Drosophila melanogaster: one gene and its partners. The gene in region 3 interacts genetically with the main gene of each other region. Each region holds a gene or a part of one and is shown on either strand. Other genes may lie near its edges.

Evidence for each region.
Region 1: of RasGAP1 (region 3) and svp, changing one enhances a phenotype caused by changing the other (phenotypic enhancement), as found in Drosophila melanogaster (one study listed by BioGRID).
Region 2: of RasGAP1 (region 3) and fred, changing one enhances a phenotype caused by changing the other (phenotypic enhancement), as found in Drosophila melanogaster (one study listed by BioGRID).
Region 4: of RasGAP1 (region 3) and Ptpmeg, changing one suppresses a phenotype caused by changing the other (phenotypic suppression), as found in Drosophila melanogaster (one study listed by BioGRID).

The regions. Positions count from the first base shown.
Region 1 is NT_033777.3:12,279,391-12,284,113, forward strand, and holds the start of svp (seven up), read left to right. Parts: upstream 1-1,719; 5' UTR 1,720-2,204; coding exon 2,205-2,859; intron 2,860-4,723. UniProt on the Drosophila melanogaster protein: Receptor that is required in photoreceptors R1, R3, R4 and R6 during eye development; generation of the ganglion mother cell-2 (GMC-2) fate in the nb7-3 lineage, coinciding with the transition in the expression of HB to KR in the neuroblasts (NBs).
Region 2 is NT_033779.5:3,988,668-3,993,355, reverse strand, and holds the start of fred (friend of echinoid), read left to right. Parts: upstream 1-1,642; 5' UTR 1,643-1,808; intron 1,809-3,555; 5' UTR 3,556-3,935; coding exon 3,936-3,963; intron 3,964-4,688.
Region 3 is NT_037436.4:9,852,273-9,857,194, reverse strand, and holds the start of RasGAP1 (Ras GTPase activating protein 1), read left to right. Parts: upstream 1-1,909; 5' UTR 1,910-2,382; coding exon 2,383-2,530; intron 2,531-4,922. UniProt on the Drosophila melanogaster protein: Inhibitory regulator of the Ras-cyclic AMP pathway. May function as a negative regulator of Ras85D/Ras1 in the sev signaling pathway. Acts cell autonomously in cone cell precursors as a negative regulator of R7 photoreceptor cell determination.
Region 4 is NT_037436.4:326,358-331,137, forward strand, and holds the start of Ptpmeg (protein tyrosine phosphatase Meg), read left to right. Parts: upstream 1-1,739; 5' UTR 1,740-2,111; intron 2,112-2,631; 5' UTR 2,632-2,668; intron 2,669-3,464; exon of another isoform or gene 3,465-3,682; coding exon of another isoform or gene 3,683-3,717; intron 3,718-3,778; coding exon of another isoform or gene 3,779-3,858; intron 3,859-3,920; coding exon of another isoform or gene 3,921-4,124; intron 4,125-4,183; coding exon of another isoform or gene 4,184-4,340; intron 4,341-4,398; coding exon of another isoform or gene 4,399-4,632; intron 4,633-4,691; coding exon of another isoform or gene 4,692-4,780. Other genes in the region: Atac3 (Ada2a-containing complex component 3), read right to left, coding at 1-1, 65-182, 347-367, 510-722, 778-1,131, 1,189-1,284; mthl9 (methuselah-like 9), read right to left, coding at 3,683-3,717, 3,779-3,858, 3,921-4,124, 4,184-4,340, 4,399-4,632, 4,692-4,780.

The DNA of each region.
Region 1 (4,723 bases), on a different chromosome or scaffold from region 3:
TTGGCAAGAGGTGGGCGGGGAAGTGCAAAGTGCGGTGGCCACAATTTGGCCCTTTGGACTGGCCTGCAACTCTTGGCTTTGCAGCCAGCGACACTTTTCCAATATTTTCCATTTCCCCAACCACCCGTTTTGAATGAAAAACGAAGTGGCAACAGTGTTGCGTGGCATCCAGCGATTGCCTTTAAGTTTTCACTCTCCAGAAGTTAGTTGCGTGCAAATGGGCGGTAGTTAAATGCTAATTTCAAATAAAAAACCAAGAAGTAACAGTCGCCAAATGGACATATCAGGTTGCGCGAGGTGTCCTCGTTAAGAATGAATTCAATTATCGTTATGATTTCATGTTTTGGCACTTCCCCAACCACATTTCCACCAGACACGTAAACAAAGTCAACAAAGTACAAGTCGAGGAGCCCAGGGACTGCAGTGCACTGATCCAATTAGCCAAGGGAAATTATTATAATTATATTACGACAGTCAGTGGGCTTCACTTGGCCACGACGGCTGCTAAACTTTCATTTAGGGGCAGTCCCCGGGTATATTGAGCGTTAATAATACGATGCGTTTTCGTTGCGCGACATTGGGGTCAGTATCGAGTGCCACTGCTCTTCACATTTTATGAATCGGTATCTGGAAGCAATGCAAATTTTATAAATATTCTCTGCAACACGTGCTTCTTGACAGACATTTTAATGACAACTTTTCAATAGCTGAGTATATCCCATTTATTTAATCACATAAAATTCATATAAAAGCAAGTCTGTTAGCTATTTATTGATTGCTTAGAGCAATAAAGGGCCGCTTTAAATATTGGCTTATTTATTGTTGAATAGCAATGCGATAAAAACTAATAAAGCAACTGGATCTATAATGAGTTATATATATAAATTTTATTATATAATTTTAAAAATGGCAACGGTTTTTCTTTTGGTTTTTTACAATCATATACCTTTTTCATATTGTAATCTATTCGCATCACATACAATCCTGCCACCTATCATCGCACTACCTTCATGAGTAGCAGAGATAAGCTCGATGTTCTTTGGTTGACAACCAATAGAAAAGAAGCTTTAAAGCAAACATTTAACCGCGAACGGGCATTATGGCCGCCAAACTCTTCCTCCAGATAAGAAATCGGACTTTAAGCGCCACTGAAATTGGTGAAATACAAAGTAGAACGCACTTTAAGGCGGTTGGCCAACCAGAGCAGAAACATTCGAGTAGCCAACAAAAAGATAAACAGCGCCGAAAAACTTTTTTCGGGGTGGAGACTCATTTTAAACAAATTGGCAAAAAGTTGAGACCCCCGAAACCGAAAAGTCCGGCGATAAAGAGCCTTAACGGTAAAAGTATCTAACAGATGCGCCCAACAGCGAGCTAATAAGAGCAAACGGGTTCTAGTTGGATTGGATGAGTGAGTGAGTGTGCTTCGTTGAGTGAGAGAGCAGCCACTCTGTTTCAGTTCAGTGGTGGTGGTGGTGGGTATACTGGGTGCACTGGTGGTGGTGGTTCAGTGGTGGTGGCAAACCAGCCAAACGCGTCGAAGGTCTTGCCCCACCAACGCGAGCGAGCGAGAGCGGCGATTTCACTCAACTAGAAGGCAATGCCAGCTAAACGAGAGTGAGCAGACCAGCACCACTGCCCGTTTGAGTTGAGTATGGGGAGCGGAGAGAGATTTGTGTGATGTGTCGTTAGGTCGAAACGGTCGAGTCGAGTCGGGTCGGGTCGTGTACCTTTTGCCACGAATGTTGTGCCAGTCAGGCTCTAAAAGGCCTTACGAGAACAGCTGAGATTTCGCTGCTCCGCATGACGCAAAGATACCGAAATTGAAAAATTTTCAAGTCTTTAAGATATTATATCTCGTGTGTGCGCCGAGCGGGAAATTAATAAGCAACATCGAAAAAATTCAAAAATTCAAAAATAAACCAAGTGTTTTATTAGTGAAGCCAGCTGAAATGTTAACAGCATATGCAGCTTAAAAGAAAATATTAAATTTATTTTAACATAAAGAAGAAGAATTATAACGCGGCTGACAAATACGAATAAAAGGATACAAGTTAAAAGCTAGAGCCGAGGACTCTATCGAAACCAAAGTGTGAACCGTACCAAGTGCGTACAAAGTGTATTCCAGCAATTATCCCACGTGTTCCGACCCGGCCGCCAAAATTATTACGCACAATTCGCTGAGCGTGTACGGCGGCGGCGTCATGTGCGCCTCCCCGTCCACGGCTCCCGGCTTCTTCAATCCGCGCCCGCAATCCGGCGCGGAGCTGTCGGCCTTCGACATCGGCCTGTCCCGCTCGATGGGGCTGGGCGTCCCGCCACACAGCGCCTGGCACGAACCGCCGGCCTCCCTCGGCGGTCACCTGCACGCCGCCTCCGCCGGACCGGGCACCACCACCGGCAGCGTGGCGACGGGCGGCGGCGGTACCACTCCGAGCAGCGTGGCCAGCCAGCAGTCGGCGGTGATCAAGCAGGATCTCTCTTGCCCCAGCCTCAATCAGGCGGGATCCGGCCATCATCCTGGCATCAAGGAGGATCTGTCCAGCAGCCTGCCCAGCGCCAATGGTGGATCCGCCGGTGGCCATCACTCCGGTTCCGGATCGGGTTCCGGTTCGGGCGTCAATCCCGGACACGGCTCCGACATGCTGCCCCTGATCAAGGGCCATGGCCAGGACATGCTCACCAGCATCAAGGGACAGCCCACGGGCTGTGGCAGCACCACGCCCAGCTCCCAGGCGAATAGCTCCCACTCGCAGAGCAGCAACAGTGGATCCCAGATCGACAGCAAGCAGAACATCGAGTGCGTCGTCTGCGGCGACAAGAGTTCCGGCAAGCACTACGGACAATTTACCTGCGAAGGTGAGTACACTGCGAGAAATTATATTCAAATAGGGGGGGAAACAGTTAGAGTGAATGTGTGAGCTAGGGATGTTACCACTCCACCAGTACATTAATTGTGCTTATGCCATACATGTCAATGTATCTATTTGGTGCCATCTTGAGGACCATCACATCTTGGCAATTTTTATTGCTGAGTAGCGATCTCACCTCCAAGGTGCAATTGGGGGTCAATTGATTTCGTACTCGGATTCGAACTGGGGATGACCAAACAGAAATGGCCAACGTAATAGAAAGCGAGCACAAAAGCGTGCCTGCCAGCCGCTGATTTTTGACAGTTTCGGTGAGTTATGGCAGTTTGATGAGTTGGCAATAAACCCTCGGCCAGGTGTGGGTGTGTGGCGGAATGGTAGAGCAGTGGGAATTCTTCCCAGGGCCATGCAAAAGTTGACGGGATGCAGCTGGAATGTATATCTGTGGGCCAGGGCAGTCAATAAACCTACGTGGAGCCCAAAAGCTAGTTAGTTGATCGGGGGCCCCAAATCATGTAAAAATGTTTTTACGAGCAAAAAATACATTTATGATCTAAAATATAGTTTGGTTTGACCCCAGCGAGATTTATGTTTGCGCATAAGCTTACTGTCTTTTGCTGATATATTATTGTGTCTAATTAAATTTTACAGCTGCAATTGCCCCTAAAGTGGTGATAAAGTATCTAAAAAAAAATCCCTGTTCTGGCAGATGATTTTCCAGATACTCAGATACTTTTGCATCTCCGGCCATCATTCCGTTACACTAGAGCTCGCAGCACGAGAGCTCTTGAATATAGCCATATATATATATATATACATATATTGCGATCTGGGCACCCACTGCCTCTCGGCCTTATCGTCAGATAAAAATTATTATCTAAATAAAATACGGTCCGTGCTTTGTCCTAAGCCAAACAATTGTTGTGCAAACATGCAAATTGTGCGGCGGCCGCTAAATGAAGCGCCCACCTTCTTATTGTCTCTCTCACTGGGTTTCTGGATAAGGGGAGCCTCACCTGGAGTTCCGGAAAAGAGGGGTGGCAGATGGGCAATGGAAGGCGGGAGGCGGGGCAGATGGGTAACTGCATTCAGAGATAGAGGGAGATCTGGCATACGCTCTGGCATTTAGTGCAGCTTGAAGTTGAACTTGTCATGCTCGTATCTCTTCAAATGTTCTGGCACTGGAGCACACAGGCAAAGCCACTGCCACAGCCACAGCTAAGAGCCAAGAAGTGACTATGACTGGGCAGAGGCACAGTGGGCCATTGGTATGATGATACCAGAGATTCCCAGATACTTGGCACTCCGTTGGCTCCCACTGTTCGTTCGCGGGCGCTGCTATTATTATTAATCACCGAGCATTTTGTACGCATGCGCAACCCACAAGAGCAACAATCAGAAGATATGCGGCTCTGTGACCGCCTCGTTGCATTCTGAAGGTGTTTCCCCGGATCCCTTCATGTGGCATAGTATGTAGTTGCCTGTTGGCCTGATGATGTTGCCACGATAGCAATCTATTTTGTTCTATGCAATCGCCCAGACTGCAGAGCTGTAGCTTTAGCTTCACTCAAATGCTGGCGAAATAAAACGTAGGAATAATCATAATAAAGCGCATAGAGCCCATATCATTGCCGGCGTTTTCAGGGTTTTTTTTTTATGTTTGCTACTCTGGTGCCTGGTCGCGTCCTTTCAGCTGATTCACTTCGAGGTGCAGATACTTTTCGTGGCTCTTAGAAAAGAAAGATACTCCACTCCACACCACTCCGTTGCGCGGCAACTCGTTTCGGCTGTCTGAGCTCTAAACTCGTGTGTGTCCGTGTGTGTGTGTGCTCACTTGTCCGTCTGTCTGGAGG
Region 2 (4,688 bases), on a different chromosome or scaffold from region 3:
GGCATCCTCAACCATGACTGCCCCGAATTCCTCCACCCCCTGATTTTCCAGCCCCTCCTCTAAAGTTTTCAAGCCCTCCGCCCCAAAACGAAATTGTACCATCTAACCTGATCTACAAGCAAAGTTGAGGAGTTTTCGTGGGCAACACACAAAACGCATAAATTTATGTCAAACATTTGTGAGGCGTCTCCACTTCCGACCTCTCACTTACTCCCACTACATCTTTCTCTTTCGCTGAAAGAGAAAATTTATTTATTCGGACTTTTTAACAACTTTTGTACATATCTGTGTGTATTTGAGTGCCAAGGTGTTGGCTCAACCTTTGTGGCGGTCTCTTTTTTTTTTTTTTACTTTTTTTCTCCCCAAACTTGCCACATTTAGTTTGCAAATATTTTTTATGTGCCACGACATGTTCAAAACAGGGAGTAAGGGCTGCAAAACAACTGCCTAAGGGCCCAAAATGTTTATCCTGCGAAGCGTGGGCCATAAACTACTCAGAAACATAGCTGTTGTAAAATGGGGGACACTTTTGTTGATTGCTCAAAATATTCAAAAGGACCCTTCAAATATGTAAGTTTTCGTAAAATAAAAAGATTTCAGGAACATATAATTCATGTGAAAATATTAAAAAACGAAATGCAGAGCATTCCGTACTTTCTGTCTGCACTAGTCAGGACCAACTGTTGATTGCCTTGATTAATAAAAACGAATGCACTTGCAAGTGCAACAAATCAACATGTTGCCAAAAGAGAAAGTTTCGGCAAGAGAATGTGAGAGAAAACCGCACGGAAAAGAGAGATGGGAACGAGTGAAATAGGAAACAGTTTCTCTCCGGAAAAGTTAGCCAGGATTGGGGCAAAAAACTTGTCTAAAACCGAGTCCCAACGATTATGGTCCAAACAAAATTTCGTGGACTATGCTTCGTGTGTGTTTATGGCCATAAACAACTGACCCCAAAACATAAATAAACCAAAGAGCAGGAAAAGGACCACAAAAGCAAATAAAACTAATAAATGTAGCAGTTTGATAAAATTAAACAACTTGTATGTATTTATTTGTAGAAATAAATTCATCTGTAAACCATTAATGATGATTTGAATCGAATAATGAAAATATCTACAAATTAACATGTTCTTAAATCTTGTAAACTTTGAGCTATCAAACAAGAAGATATTAATATGAATGAAAAGTATGTGATGTTTAAAGTGAAATAAATATGGAATAGTTGGCATTGTATAAAGACAACTAGGCATGATTAACTATTTCATAAAACTTAGAGTTATGTTTAACAAAATTTCCGTTGATCTATGGATGAATTACAGGCCTAGGACAATTTGCGGTTCGTTGTTTTGAGTCCTTTCACTAGAGTTCCTAACCTACCACAAAAGTCCTTAGCCGCTCTCTTTTTTTTTCAAAAGAGAACTTTCTCTCCCTTGGCAACATGTTGCCAAGCCTTTCTCTCAGCGCAGCCGCCTCGAATAATATTCAACAACCGAAATTGGCGACTTCGTCTATGGATTTCGTACACTCGTACGCGACATCCGAAGTTCACTGTACTCGTGTTTTGCAGCTCGTCATATCGAACTTCGTTCTTAAGCTGGAACAAAACCGAAATTGCACTTAGTTGGTAAGAAGCATTCTGCGGCCACGGGCGGCAAAGCGGAAAAGTCGGGAAGAACTGGAAAGGCCGAGTGGAAAAGTCTCCTAAAAACAGGACCCCAAGTATATGTAGAAACCGAAGAAACGCGAGTGCGGAAAAGCGTTGCAGTGGAAATTGCGGACAGGCGGAAACCGCGTTTCGCTTACATGTGCGTTTGTAATTATGCAAATTGCCGGGCAACTCTTTCGACAAATGGCACTCAAGTGCAACTGTTGCCCCGCTTTTCCCCGTGACCTTGCACCCACCTCCTGCCCCCACCGCCCGCTGCTCGGCCCACAGCCATGCATATTTATGCCGCCAAAAAGCCAGAAACTGGGCCAAAACTAGTGCAACAGAAATAGAAAACGGGAAAAAAGAAATGAAATGAAATAAAATAAAATACGAGCAAAGCGCCAAAAGGGGCCAGCAAACAGTGACAAACAATTTCTGCTCAATTTAAAGCCGCTGCGAAAGTTGTGCTCCACTTACCTTCGCTCATCTGTCAAATCCGTATAATTTCCTCTTATTTTTTTTGTGCGTCCTTTCCGTTTGTGTGTGTCAGCAACTTGTTGTCCTTGGTCCTTGCTCTTTGGTCCTAGAAAACAAGTCCGAGCCAGACTCACTCCCAGGCTGGGCAAATAAAATGCAAATAAATTATTTTTATTATTCCACTGTGACAGCTGATTTGGGAGCTTTCTTTAGGATTTCTCTTGCTTTTTTGCCCATTGTTATGACGGCTGGTTATTTTGATGGCGTTGAAAATGGTTTAGCTTAAAGTTACTGGCAGTGCATAAGCGAATTAGGAGCCATGTTTAGTTCGCTGAGTTGTGAGTTGCCGAGAGTTTCTTAAATAAAATGTCGATTTGAATGCACTGGAGTCAAATAGTAAAAGATATATATTTTCATTAGTATTCGATTCTGAGGCACAGTGCATTTAAATACAGCAAAGACAATCGAGATAACTGTTACCTAAAGCGTTTTGTGATAATACAAGTATTTATTGCTTAAAACACATAAATTTCCTGAAGAAAAACTAAATAAACGAGGAAAGCTTGCCAAAATATGCAAGTGACCTGATAAGAAGTTTTAAAATATTCAAAAATTTAGATTTTGTGAAAACACCTAAGTGATTAAATTGTAAGTTAGTGACTAAAAAACCTGCTATAAACTCAAGCAGTGTAAATGCATAAAATTAAAGGTGTTTTATTTTAAGTACGGATTATCTTTCCAAAGCTCTGGCTCAAAATAAAAATAAGCAGTCACCATTAATAACTCATAATTACTTAGTGATTAGTGTCGAGTAACGCAGGAGATTTCCATTAACAATTGGGCAGTAAAACGCTACGGTTTTGTGTCCCCTCGGCTCCGGTTTAAATAAATAGCCCGGCAATTGCCGAGGCTTGGTCAAAAGGAGGCCCATCAACCATTCCGGCGGAATCAACTCACCTGGGGCTGGGATGTGGATGCGGATATGGAGGGTGTGGGATTTTCGTTAGGATGAAACCTAATAAGTTTGGAGCACGCAAGCGATGGGCCATTTTCAAGCTATTTGACTGACATGCTGTCCGCTCATAAGTCGCTTTTTGCTGGGTATTGTAAACATGAATAAGACATTAGCAGCACAGTTTACATGTGCGGCGGGGGCAAAGCCAACTGAGTGGGCACAATTCCATTTGGGGTATCCATCTCTAGTCGGTGCTCTTGCAAATTATTATTATTTGGGAAATATGTTCATTTAATGCCTGGGCATGGCTTCAATTGGACCTTTCGGCCTCGGCCCGGTTTTGCAAGCCCAAATTGAAATGTCTGAGCCTTTAAATATTCATTGCCTACTTCTAGGCGCCTTCCATATGCATTTAACATGAGCACGAGTGTGTGTGTGTCGCATTTAATTTAATTGAAACATTTAATTACAGTGTCCAGCCGTAGTATCGGCATCTCGAGTGCGTGAATATTTGAACGAGCATTTCAGCATCGCATTGCAAAATCAATTCTCGAGTGAGCCTTTAAAAACACGCAAATTGAAACCGAAATAGAGAGAAAAAAACGCACAACCGCAGAAACAAAAACCGAAATGTGTCTCGGGATAATCGTCAGCCAAATTGCATTTCCATTGCGACATTAAAATGCAATTTGGGCGGGTCGCCGACTCCAGTTACTGTCAAACTGTTGCCTCTTTAGCGGATTAATATTTCTGTAAATACCACCCAAAGAGTTGAACGAAACAAAAAAAAAGCGCACAAGAAAAACAGGCGGAAAAACAGAAAATTCATCAGCAACAGCACAGCAGTCAAACATGTCGACCATAAAGCTGCTCATTATCGGTAAGTTTTATCTCACAATTAAAACAGAAACAAAAGAGAAAAATCATTAATGAAGGCACGAACTCGAAATCTGACCGAAGCAGCGGCTGCTGTGGTTTATTTTATTTTCCTGTTTCAATTTTATTTTCATGACCTCATCGCGAGCTTTAAAGTGGTTGAAAAGAAACAAAATTAGGCCATTCAAAGTAGTTAAAACTGTTTGTTTATATTTTAATTATAGTACTATATGGAATAAACCAAACACCACCAGACCAAAATTAAAATACAAGAATATACTTTAATAATAGTAATGTCATATAGTGCCTAATAGAAAATGCTATTATAAGACTACTTGCTTATGAAAAGCAGCTCGGTTTTATTAAGAAATTCTTTTAAGACTTTCATTTCAATTCCTGAGATGCACAAACCGCGCTGTTTGAAGTCATCGCCATATGCACCTCTTTTGCAACCCAGTCAATTGCATTTTCCTTGCCTGACTGACTTCCACTTTTGCCCCTCCTGCATTTTCAGTTTCATTTTTTTTTTCCACCATGCCACGCCCCCGTTTTCCTTGCCACTTGTTATCTGGCCCTTCTGGCGGTTTTCATTTTTATGTGCGTCCTGGGAAATTTCACAATGCCGCAAAAGGCGTTTACGTGAAGGGGCGAAGTGGTCCGAGTGACCATAAACAAAAGACACCACCCACTCATCAACAACATCATGGACATCATCCTCTTTCCAAGCCC
Region 3 (4,922 bases):
TTATGTGTAAACTTCACATTAACATGAGGTGGATAAGAAAAACTAAACGTTTTAAGAAACTTGTTCACGACGCAAATAGTAAACGAAGTTTACGAACCCATATTGACGTCAAGATCGAGTTAATACTAAATAAATGTTGTAAATTAGGGAGATCAAAAAACCCGGTCCAAATGGGTTTTTCATTCATAACGAAATAATAACGGAAGCTAGACAAATGACCAAAACACTTTTCCGGACATAAATATGAGAAAATATGGGAGGAGTGGGTTTATAAACAGGCCCAAAAACCTGAAACCGAAACTCGTAGACCCATTCATACGAATGGAAATGCCACAAAATACTATATTTATAACATCTGCGCCTAGCTTCGAATTTTGTGGGCGGGGCAAATGGAGGAGGAGGAGGAATCGAGTGGACAGCTGGAAACGGAAAAAAAGAAGAAAAGCCCTGTCTCCTCTTCTTCCCACGTCGGTTACGTTTCGTTGAGCGAAATGATCAACATATTCAAATGGTCGTTACGCACGCTACACAGAAAATAGCATTGTGAACGTTCTTAACAAATATTATGATACACTTTAAAAGCATATACTAAAGGGAAATGTTAATTTTCGATAAGTCTCTTTAAATTATTACAATTACTATAAACTATAACTGTGTTATAGTATTTACAATTATAATTTATTTTATATACAATTATTTTGCTCAGTGCAGTTGAAGTGACTAGATCAAATGCAGGGCATACGAAAACAATGAAACCCAGCCGAGCAACCATCCGAAATGTTGACCCGACCACTTCCACTTATTGGCGGCAGTTGTGATAAGATGCACCGCCTCACTTGTTGATCTCTCCCTGCCAGTTGTTGTTCTTGTTGTTGTTGTGATGCATGTGGTTTCCAAGGCAAGGAGCAGAAGCAACATATGCGTAAAGAAAAACATAAGCGGCGTTGCTGTCCGGATGCCGTGTGAATTTCACATTTCACTGCCTTGTTTCTGAATATTTGTGTACTTTTAATGTACATATGTGTGTACTATGTAGTTCCTCGGGTTCCTGTGGACTGTCTGCGATCCAGAACGCCCACGTAATGTGCGCTACGGTATAAACAGCCGGGCATTTGATTTTTACTTACTTTGCTAAGCATAACTAGCTATTGATACATGGTTATTGGAATAGATATGAATCTTAAACTGGTTGAATTTAAAAATAAACATTGCTTTCTGATATAATTCCTTAACGATCGATCATAAACAAAACAGGGTTTTTTATTGCTTTGTACCGCCCTTCTTAAGTCGCATATGCCTCGACTTTCTCTGCCGGCGATCTTCGGTTGTTTCCGCTGTTGGTGGCGCCGGTGCAACATGTGTGTGTGTTTAAGTGTAGGTGACCGCTGCTGCGTGTGTGCGTTTTCATTCACAAAATTTTTGGGAGGTGCATGTGTACACTTGCCGCTTGGAAATTTTAATTCAGTTCCATTTCGGCCGACCTGCAACACGTTCGTAATTCGGAGTGTGTTTCAAAGTTAAGCAACTAAAAACCAATCGGAATTAATAAAAACATCAATTAAACCTCAAGTTAAAATAAAAAAAACCAAAAATTCAGTGTTTAATAATAATCAATTTTAAATAAATTACAAAATATATAACTGTTTGTTGGAGCTAACGATATATATTCGATAGCCAGAACTGGTGAAATATCGAAATTAAACTTAAACATTTTTAATGAAAACCTTACTGTTGTGCTTAACTTAATAAGCATAAGCCGTTGTTGAATAAAATAAAAAAATTATTTTAAAACATATCTGCTTCAAACAAATTATTAAGCAAACATTAATCATTTGCGTTTCCCGTGGTATTTTCGGGGCACCGTGCTAAGGTCACACTAATTCGTTGGAGTCATACAACCGTCTCGCTACGGTCACTCTAGTTCTGATTCCGCTTCGAAAGGTTGTTCGCGGATGCGTGTAAACCCGCAAAGCAAATAAACTCGGAGAACCAAGTTTTTGCGATTCTGATTCAAGCAACCGAATTACTTTCCATACTTCGATAATATAATCCCACGTCTGCTAGTGCGTGCAAAAAACAGTTTGTAGTTAAAACGAAATACTAAAATCAGTCGAGCCCTGAAGCAACAGGGAAAGTGCATTTCGTGAGCGGCAAATCGACTCATATTCCCGTCACACCAGCTCAATGCACAATGCAACGCTGCAGCGAGTGATGAAATTCAAATGCAAATAGCCGGCTAATAAACCTGTTAAAGAAAAACAAATAATTTCGAGTTATTAAAGTTTCGTGAAGATCGAGTGAAGGAGTTAGATAAATTTCCAATCGCGTGTTGCAAGTTCCCCAGTGGGTAGCTGACAAAAAGCTGGCTGCTTTAAGCGCACAATGCTGCTGAAGAAGAAGCGCTATATGTTCGACGAGCGAGACGACAATAATATTAACTCGCCCGTCGCCGTCGAGCCAAGCAGCAACAACAACAAAATGGCCGATACACGCGAAGTGCGCATTGAAGAGCAATTAAAAGTGAAAATTGGTATGTAAATCGAGTGCGAAATCGTTCAAAAACATCAAAAATATGTCGAAGAACATGCGTGGCATGAACGTTGAGTGAAATACGCGCAGCAACGTGCGTTTTTTATGTTCCAAAGTGTGCTGGAATTTTGACAGCGTCGCCGTTTGCCCCGCGGAGCCTCTTCCAAGCAGAAAACAACATAGAATCGGGAGAATATGTCTAAAAGTTTTCCAAAATGTTGTGTAATCTAATGGCAAACCGAAATTTGTGCGAGTTGAGGCAAAGAAAGTCGATTAATTGAGAAAACAAATGTGTTTTTGTTCTAGAAATGCATATTGCGTTCAAGTGTATAAGCATGCTGTCCCGCTCTGACTCGCGTGTTGCTCTGTGCGTGTGTGTTTCTGTTGCCTTTTTCCCTGTGTGTGTGTGTTTTTTTTTCGTGCAGCAGCAGTGCAATACATTTGTTGTTGCTGCCGTTTGAGAAGTAATGGATGACCAGGCTGAATGTTACGGCATTCGCTTCTTGACCCACCCCCAGAACCGCTCTTCCTCCTTCATCGCCCAGCACACCCCCCGCAGTTTTGAATGCGCCCCTTTTTGTGAATGAATCGGAAATCAAGCATGTGTCTGTGAGACGCTCCAGCGCATGCTCACACACACGCGACAAACGCACACACACAAGCGGCAGAGAGATCCCAGCAACAATGTGTGGGTTTTTTTATGAATGGAATTTTCGAATTCGGTGTACTTTTCTCAATACGAAGGTGTCTGTTTTATGAATGATTATCAAAAGCAACAAGCGAAAAGAGCATCGATTAATGGCCTACTATATATTGGCAAGAGGTCAAATGAATGAATGACGCTCTCTCACTTTTCCTCTCCATTCTGCCATCCACTTCATTCTGAAGCGAGAGCGAAGCAGACTGCAAGAGATAGACGAAAAATAAACTTGCGGTTGTTTTTTGGTGGTTTTACATTTCCTGTTGAAACATAAAAAGTAAAACAGAATTATGAATAACCACTGGCTGTGTGTACTGTGCGGGGAGGGGGGGGGGGGGTTCAAAAGTTCCCGTGATCTCATTTTCACACCTGCACACGCATTTATTTTTACCTCTTCTGCTTCTCACATTTTCAATCTCGCAACTCATAAGCAGCTTTTGCTATGCTTTTTCAACATAAATTATATGCAAAGCTGCAACAACATTGTTGCCTTGCCGCTTTTGATTTCCGTTTCCCAGCGCCCAGAGTTTCCCTTCGTGTGTTGCGGTTTTGTGTTCTTTTTCTCCGGCCATAAAACTCTTGCTTTTTTCAGTTGCTCTTCTTTTTTTCCGTGTCTTCCCCTCTTCAACTGCTTTTTGCACGCTTCAATTGTTTTCGCATGCGCCTCTGTCTTTGTCGGGATCTTCTCTTCGCACCCTCCTCTCCTCTCGACACTTCCTTTTGCCACATTCCCTTCTTTCTCCAGCTGCTTTAACCCTTTTGGGTTCTGCGAAGAAGATGGCACAATATTGGTTAAAAATGAATTAAAACACGTTTCTGCGCTGATTGAAGAACGAAAGTTATGCACTTCCTTCGATTATCGGGTTGTTATGGCAAATTAGCTGTCACCTTTTTACCTCCATTTCATTCGTTCGCCTTTGTGGTTCATGTTTACCCTCTTTACCTGCAAAAATTCCGTTAAGGATCGACCACAGCTTCCCAAGATACATATCTGATCTCATTAAAAATCCTGAGTAGTTATTACACAACACCATATCTAAAGGAATTGCCATTCAAAAATGCCTCTAAAATGTTAAAAAATGCTGTGTTATGGATCGGGAATACCTATCGAGCAGGAAATTTAACCATATTCTCTAGTTTTATAGAAGTATTATTGGGAACTCACTATTATTTATTTATAGTTTTCCCTCTTAAAAACTCTACTAAAGATATAGAAATGCGATTTCAAACGGCTCACGATCACGTTTTCTAATGATTGAAGAATGAAAGTTATTCATTTCCCATAATCATCATTGATTATCGCATCATTATAGCACATTAGCTGCTGTGTCACCTCTATTGCCCATCAACAGTCAGCTTCTTTCCCATCCGCTTTATAACGTGATATATGTACGTATTTATATATCGTTATAAGCGCTATACATATCTATGTATGTATATGTATGTACACCCTGCATTCTTCTCCCAAGTATCATATTTCCACTTCATTATGCTTTGCATGCTTAATAATAATACTTCCACATCGTGCTCAGTTTCAATTACACACGGAGTTTCGCTTTTGTTGCTATTGTTGTGGGGGCTTTCCATTTCCATTTTGTTGCTCGTTGCGATTTCTACACGAAACGTCCGTCCAAAATTGGCGTAATACTTTTCCACTTAATTAAAATGTTTAGCGCATAACCTAAATTTCATT
Region 4 (4,780 bases), 9.5 Mb from region 3:
TCTGGCAGGGAAAATAGGTTTTTCGTTAAATATTCGTTTAATATCTCCGAATCTAGTAACTTACGGCCTCGCATGTTTTCTAGGACATCCATTCGTTCTTCAACCGACATTTCTTTGTCGTCCACGGTTTTAATTACTTCCGGTTCGTCCATTATTGAGCTGACAGCTTCATTGGTTTCCTTCTGCAAATCGATGGGGAATAAATATGATATGATTTTTCTTTCTGCGAATCAATTGGGAATAAAGTATTTGTCACAATTTTTTAGGATCAGGAATGTAGGCCAAAGTTGGGAATGTTCTTGCTATTATTTGTGACAACCTAATACAAGTTGTCGAAAGTACATACTTTGGTCTTATGTGCTTGTTGCTGAAGTTTGATAAGCGCAGCGTGGGAAAAGGCAGCGATCAATTGTATTGTTAAGAATAAGGAACAGCCAAGCGAAACGTAAGTAAAACCTCATATTAAGTAGTAAATATGGCCTTCAGTGGATTTCTTCAAGCGCACTCACCTCCGATTCCTCGTGTAACTTCTTACTGGCCTGCGCCTGTCGTGCCGCTTCCAACTCCGCCAGCACATCCGCTTGTTCCGTGTACACGGCAAGTCCGATCGGCGTCTTGCCGAATTTGGAGACCAAGGTGACATCTGCCTGGCACTTGAGTAGCAGGCGCACAATTCCCTTGTGTTTTTTCTCGACCGCCCAGTGCAGCGGGGTCATGCGAAGCTGACAGGAATGTTGGTTAGTCATTTTAAACAGTCATTTATTTATATATTCTTACCATGTCGCGGGAGTTGACGCTGCACTTTAGCGCTAGCAGCAAGCTGACTATCCGCTCGTGACCGTAGTAGCAGGCTAGGTGGAGCGGCGTTCGGTCTACCTTGGTCTTGCCATCCATGTTAATGCCCCCCTGCAGGAGGATTTCGCAAATCTCCAGCTGATTGTTCATGGCGGCAAAGTGAAGTGCCGACATACCTAGCCAGTCGGAAGCGAAGGGAGCTCCATGCGCTAGCGCCGCCTTGACCCCAGCTACATCGCTGTCTCTGGCGCACTGGAGCAGCTGTTTGCCCAGGTCAACGCATGTGGCCGGACCCACCAGGATCCCCTTCTTTTGCTGGACATCCCCTTCGGTGCGCTATGAAGGAGTCGCCTCGGTTAGTGTGAATTACAAGCAAGGTACCGCGAGTCTTACGATCTCGTAGTGCATCAGGTTGGAGTTCTCCATGGGGTAGACGTGACCATCCGCTCGGAGAGTAGCAACGACTTTGCTGGCGCCGAGACTGTGCATTTTAGCAGAAGAACACTTTCAGGGACGAGTGAAGGCCTATAATTGGCATTACTTCAATAAGTTTATTAAGCAAAGGCTAAGAATGGCTTTAATTATGAATGTTTACGTTTTTAGATCTCTGCGGTGTGACCAGACATAGAAAAGGGCTTATACTCACCTATCAGATAAAATTGTTTTTGAAATAGCTTTCGTCATATAGCATCAATAGCATTAGTTTCTTCAATCGTCTAAAATCATGTTAAACTTAAATCATTTTCTGCGTTGCCGTTTTTTACATTTAAATTTAAATCACAGCTAAATCCTGTAAGACATTACTTGATCAAAGTAATAATACGAAGGATAAGGCAATCGAAGCTGAATTTATTGGTATATACCAAAAAGGAAGAATAGGTATCGATAATCTCTACATGACGAAAGTTTCTGATCGATATCAAGCACGGTCACACTTTATCTTATCGTTTTTACAGTTCGCGGTTTCGAGGTTTGCAACGCGCAATGAGCAAACTTAAACTAATTTTGTGACTCGGTAATCAAGTAAATGTGCAGCGGTCTAATTGAAATCAATGTTGCACGTGCAAATTACAGCTTGCGAGAGCAGCAATCATTTTTGTTCAGTTTTTTAAAGCTTACGAGGTATGAAAAGAAGAGGAAGTAACGGCAATGCCAGAAGCTTGTTGCTTTCTCCACTCCTCTTTCATCCTCGTCATGTGTGTGAGTGTGCAAGTGTATGTGTTTGCTAGGCTTAGAATTCCCAGTGAATATTGGGGAAATGTTAATTTAAAATGCAAAATATGTGATGGATAGCAAATGGATACGTACAAACAATAGTAAGTACATGTGTGTAGTCTTTCCGATTTTTTTCATTACTGGTGTTAAAAAGAAGAGACTAACAATATTCTTCATGCTCTTGAGCGGCCATTATATTCTAGGTGACCATTGTTGATCTAAAACAAAATAGAGAGCATAATTTTATGTTTCAATTTCTTTCTTCCGCCGCCATTGTATTCTGGGTTGATAAGGAAGATTTTAAGCAATTAAAATATATCTTCGTCTCTTTCTTCCACCGCCATTTTACTTTGCGGTGGTAAGGATGAAAGAATGAGATGCAAGCTTAAGATCTCTAAAGCAGCCATTTTTTTCTGCGGTGTGCTATTGGTCTTCCTCTTAAATTTAAAATTTATAAATTTCTTAAAAATATAGCAATATTGGCTACTATTTTTATCCATATTTCGCAAAGTTAAATGTAAACCGAAATTCGGATTTTTTGAAGTTTTTATAATCAACGAGATAGATTTGCAATCAAAATTTTTACCTTATCCTAATGAGAGGGATATATTTATTTTGCAGGGAAATTGCGTAAGAGTTCAAAGAGCTTAGTTCATAGGTGAGTACATCCACATAATTCTTATGAAAAATATAAAAATGGGCTGATTAAAATGATTGGTATTATGGAAATTATTATTGAAAAAATATGAAATTTACATTTTAAAAAGTGTTATTCGCGTTATTACTCAGTTTGTAAATAGCGGGCATCAATTGTGCATAGTTTGAAGGTAAGTTGCCCAATAAATGGCGCAAAGCTCGTAACCGCGAATTATATATGTATGTACATATACGATAAAAATAAAGTGTGGCCTTTGCTTGGATAAAAAAATCGTCCGAGTCGCCGGATATCCATATTATCGCTTTCAGAAAATTCGATATCATCGATAGGTGTTTCCCTTTCAAAAGTCTTCGTCCGATTTGGTCCGTTTGACTACTTTTATCTGGTGCATACCCGATTTGACTGCTTGGACGGAGTGGGATGTGTGAATGAACACTAAAACGCTTGAAACTTGAGAAATTAGGGAAGTAGACGGGTAGCGTCAGTTTGTTTGAGAAGATTAACAAGCCCACAAACTGCACAAAACTTGCAAGGCCATTTTATTATTTGTCTATCCATTTTCGATCGATATGGCAACAACATTTAAGCCATGCCCACTCTAATGCGTCAATAAATGCGACTAATCCAGGCGGGCCCCCAAGTTAACTTGGCCCTCCTCATCGAGTCAAGCGCTTCCTTCGAAGAATGATTTACCGTTGATCATACCGGGAAGCCTTTTTTGGTCTTCAGGGGAGGTAGAGACTACATGTGGTATTAAGATGAAAAAACTAAATGCGTACATCAAATCAAAAGTATTCTTATTAATCCAAGTGAATTATAATATTTATTTTGGCACCTTGTAAATGTGACAAGTGATTAGAAATGTGGTTCTTCTTAAAGATATAAATGTACATCATAATATGCTAGAGTACTGAGGCACTATTATTTATATACTCTCCCGTGTGCGACAGACTAAATGATTCATAATGAATATGAATACCAGAGTTCACAGATGAGCAATAATCTCAGTTCCTGTTAAAGTGATGTCACTGTCGGCTTGTAGGGAGAGTCTGTGAAGGAAAATATCAATGTTAAAAGAAGATAAATTAAAGCAATAAGATGAACACCAACCTGAAGATTTTAGATCGCCTTTCTCATCGAACTTGTATACGCGAGCATTAATAATACTCAGATCTGTCTGACTTGATTCCCTGTAAAAAAAAAAAATGGGCAATTAAAATATTATAGCTTCTATTCGAATATTTCAACTTACACATTAATGGCCCACCAGGATTTGACGTGCAAATTCTTGCCAAGGAGCAGAATAAAACCAGCTATGGCCAGGCCCAGAATGCAAATTCCACTCCAGAAGTCAATGATGAAGAAATGCTCTCTCACTCTGGCCATTATATACACGACTATTTCTCGGATCCAGACCGCAAACACGCCCACTATGTAAGCGCTAAAGGCATAGAAACTGCAGGAATATAAAAGATAAATAGGTCTATAATAAAAACAGCTTTTAGGAAATCTTACTGCGTCTTGACGATTTTCAGTTGAGTGCCCAATATGTACTGAGTATCTGGTGGCAGTTCGTAGATGGAAAAGTACGCCTTGAGACAGCATACAATGCTGAATATCAGGAGGAGTGCAATGGGTCCGTAGTAGTAGATCAAAATACCCCAGGTGCGAACTGAAAATGCATAGATAATTCGAAATTAGACTTTGTTGTACTTTCTTATTCAACCTACCATCGAACCAGCAGTAATCTTCTCCCATGCCTGGCTTGAAGTGCTTGGGCAGCTTGGAGTCCTGGGCTAAGGAGACCAAAAACCGAAGACCAATCACCGCCAGAACTGCCAGAGCAAGGGACAATCGACGGACGGAGCTCCTGACAGCCTTTTGTTTAAATTTGAGCAGAAAGTCAAGACTGCAAATGGCCAGAAAGACGAAGGAGAGCATGATGCAGAAGTAGGCCAGAAATCCTTTTGGGATGCATAGAACAAAATAAGTTATCCAGTTGAAGTAGACAAAATTACTCAACCTATGTTTCTGCAAGCCACATGCGAGAGCTTCATGGGATTCTTCAAGGCCAAGTAGACCAACAGGGAGTAACCAACGATCATGGACAGC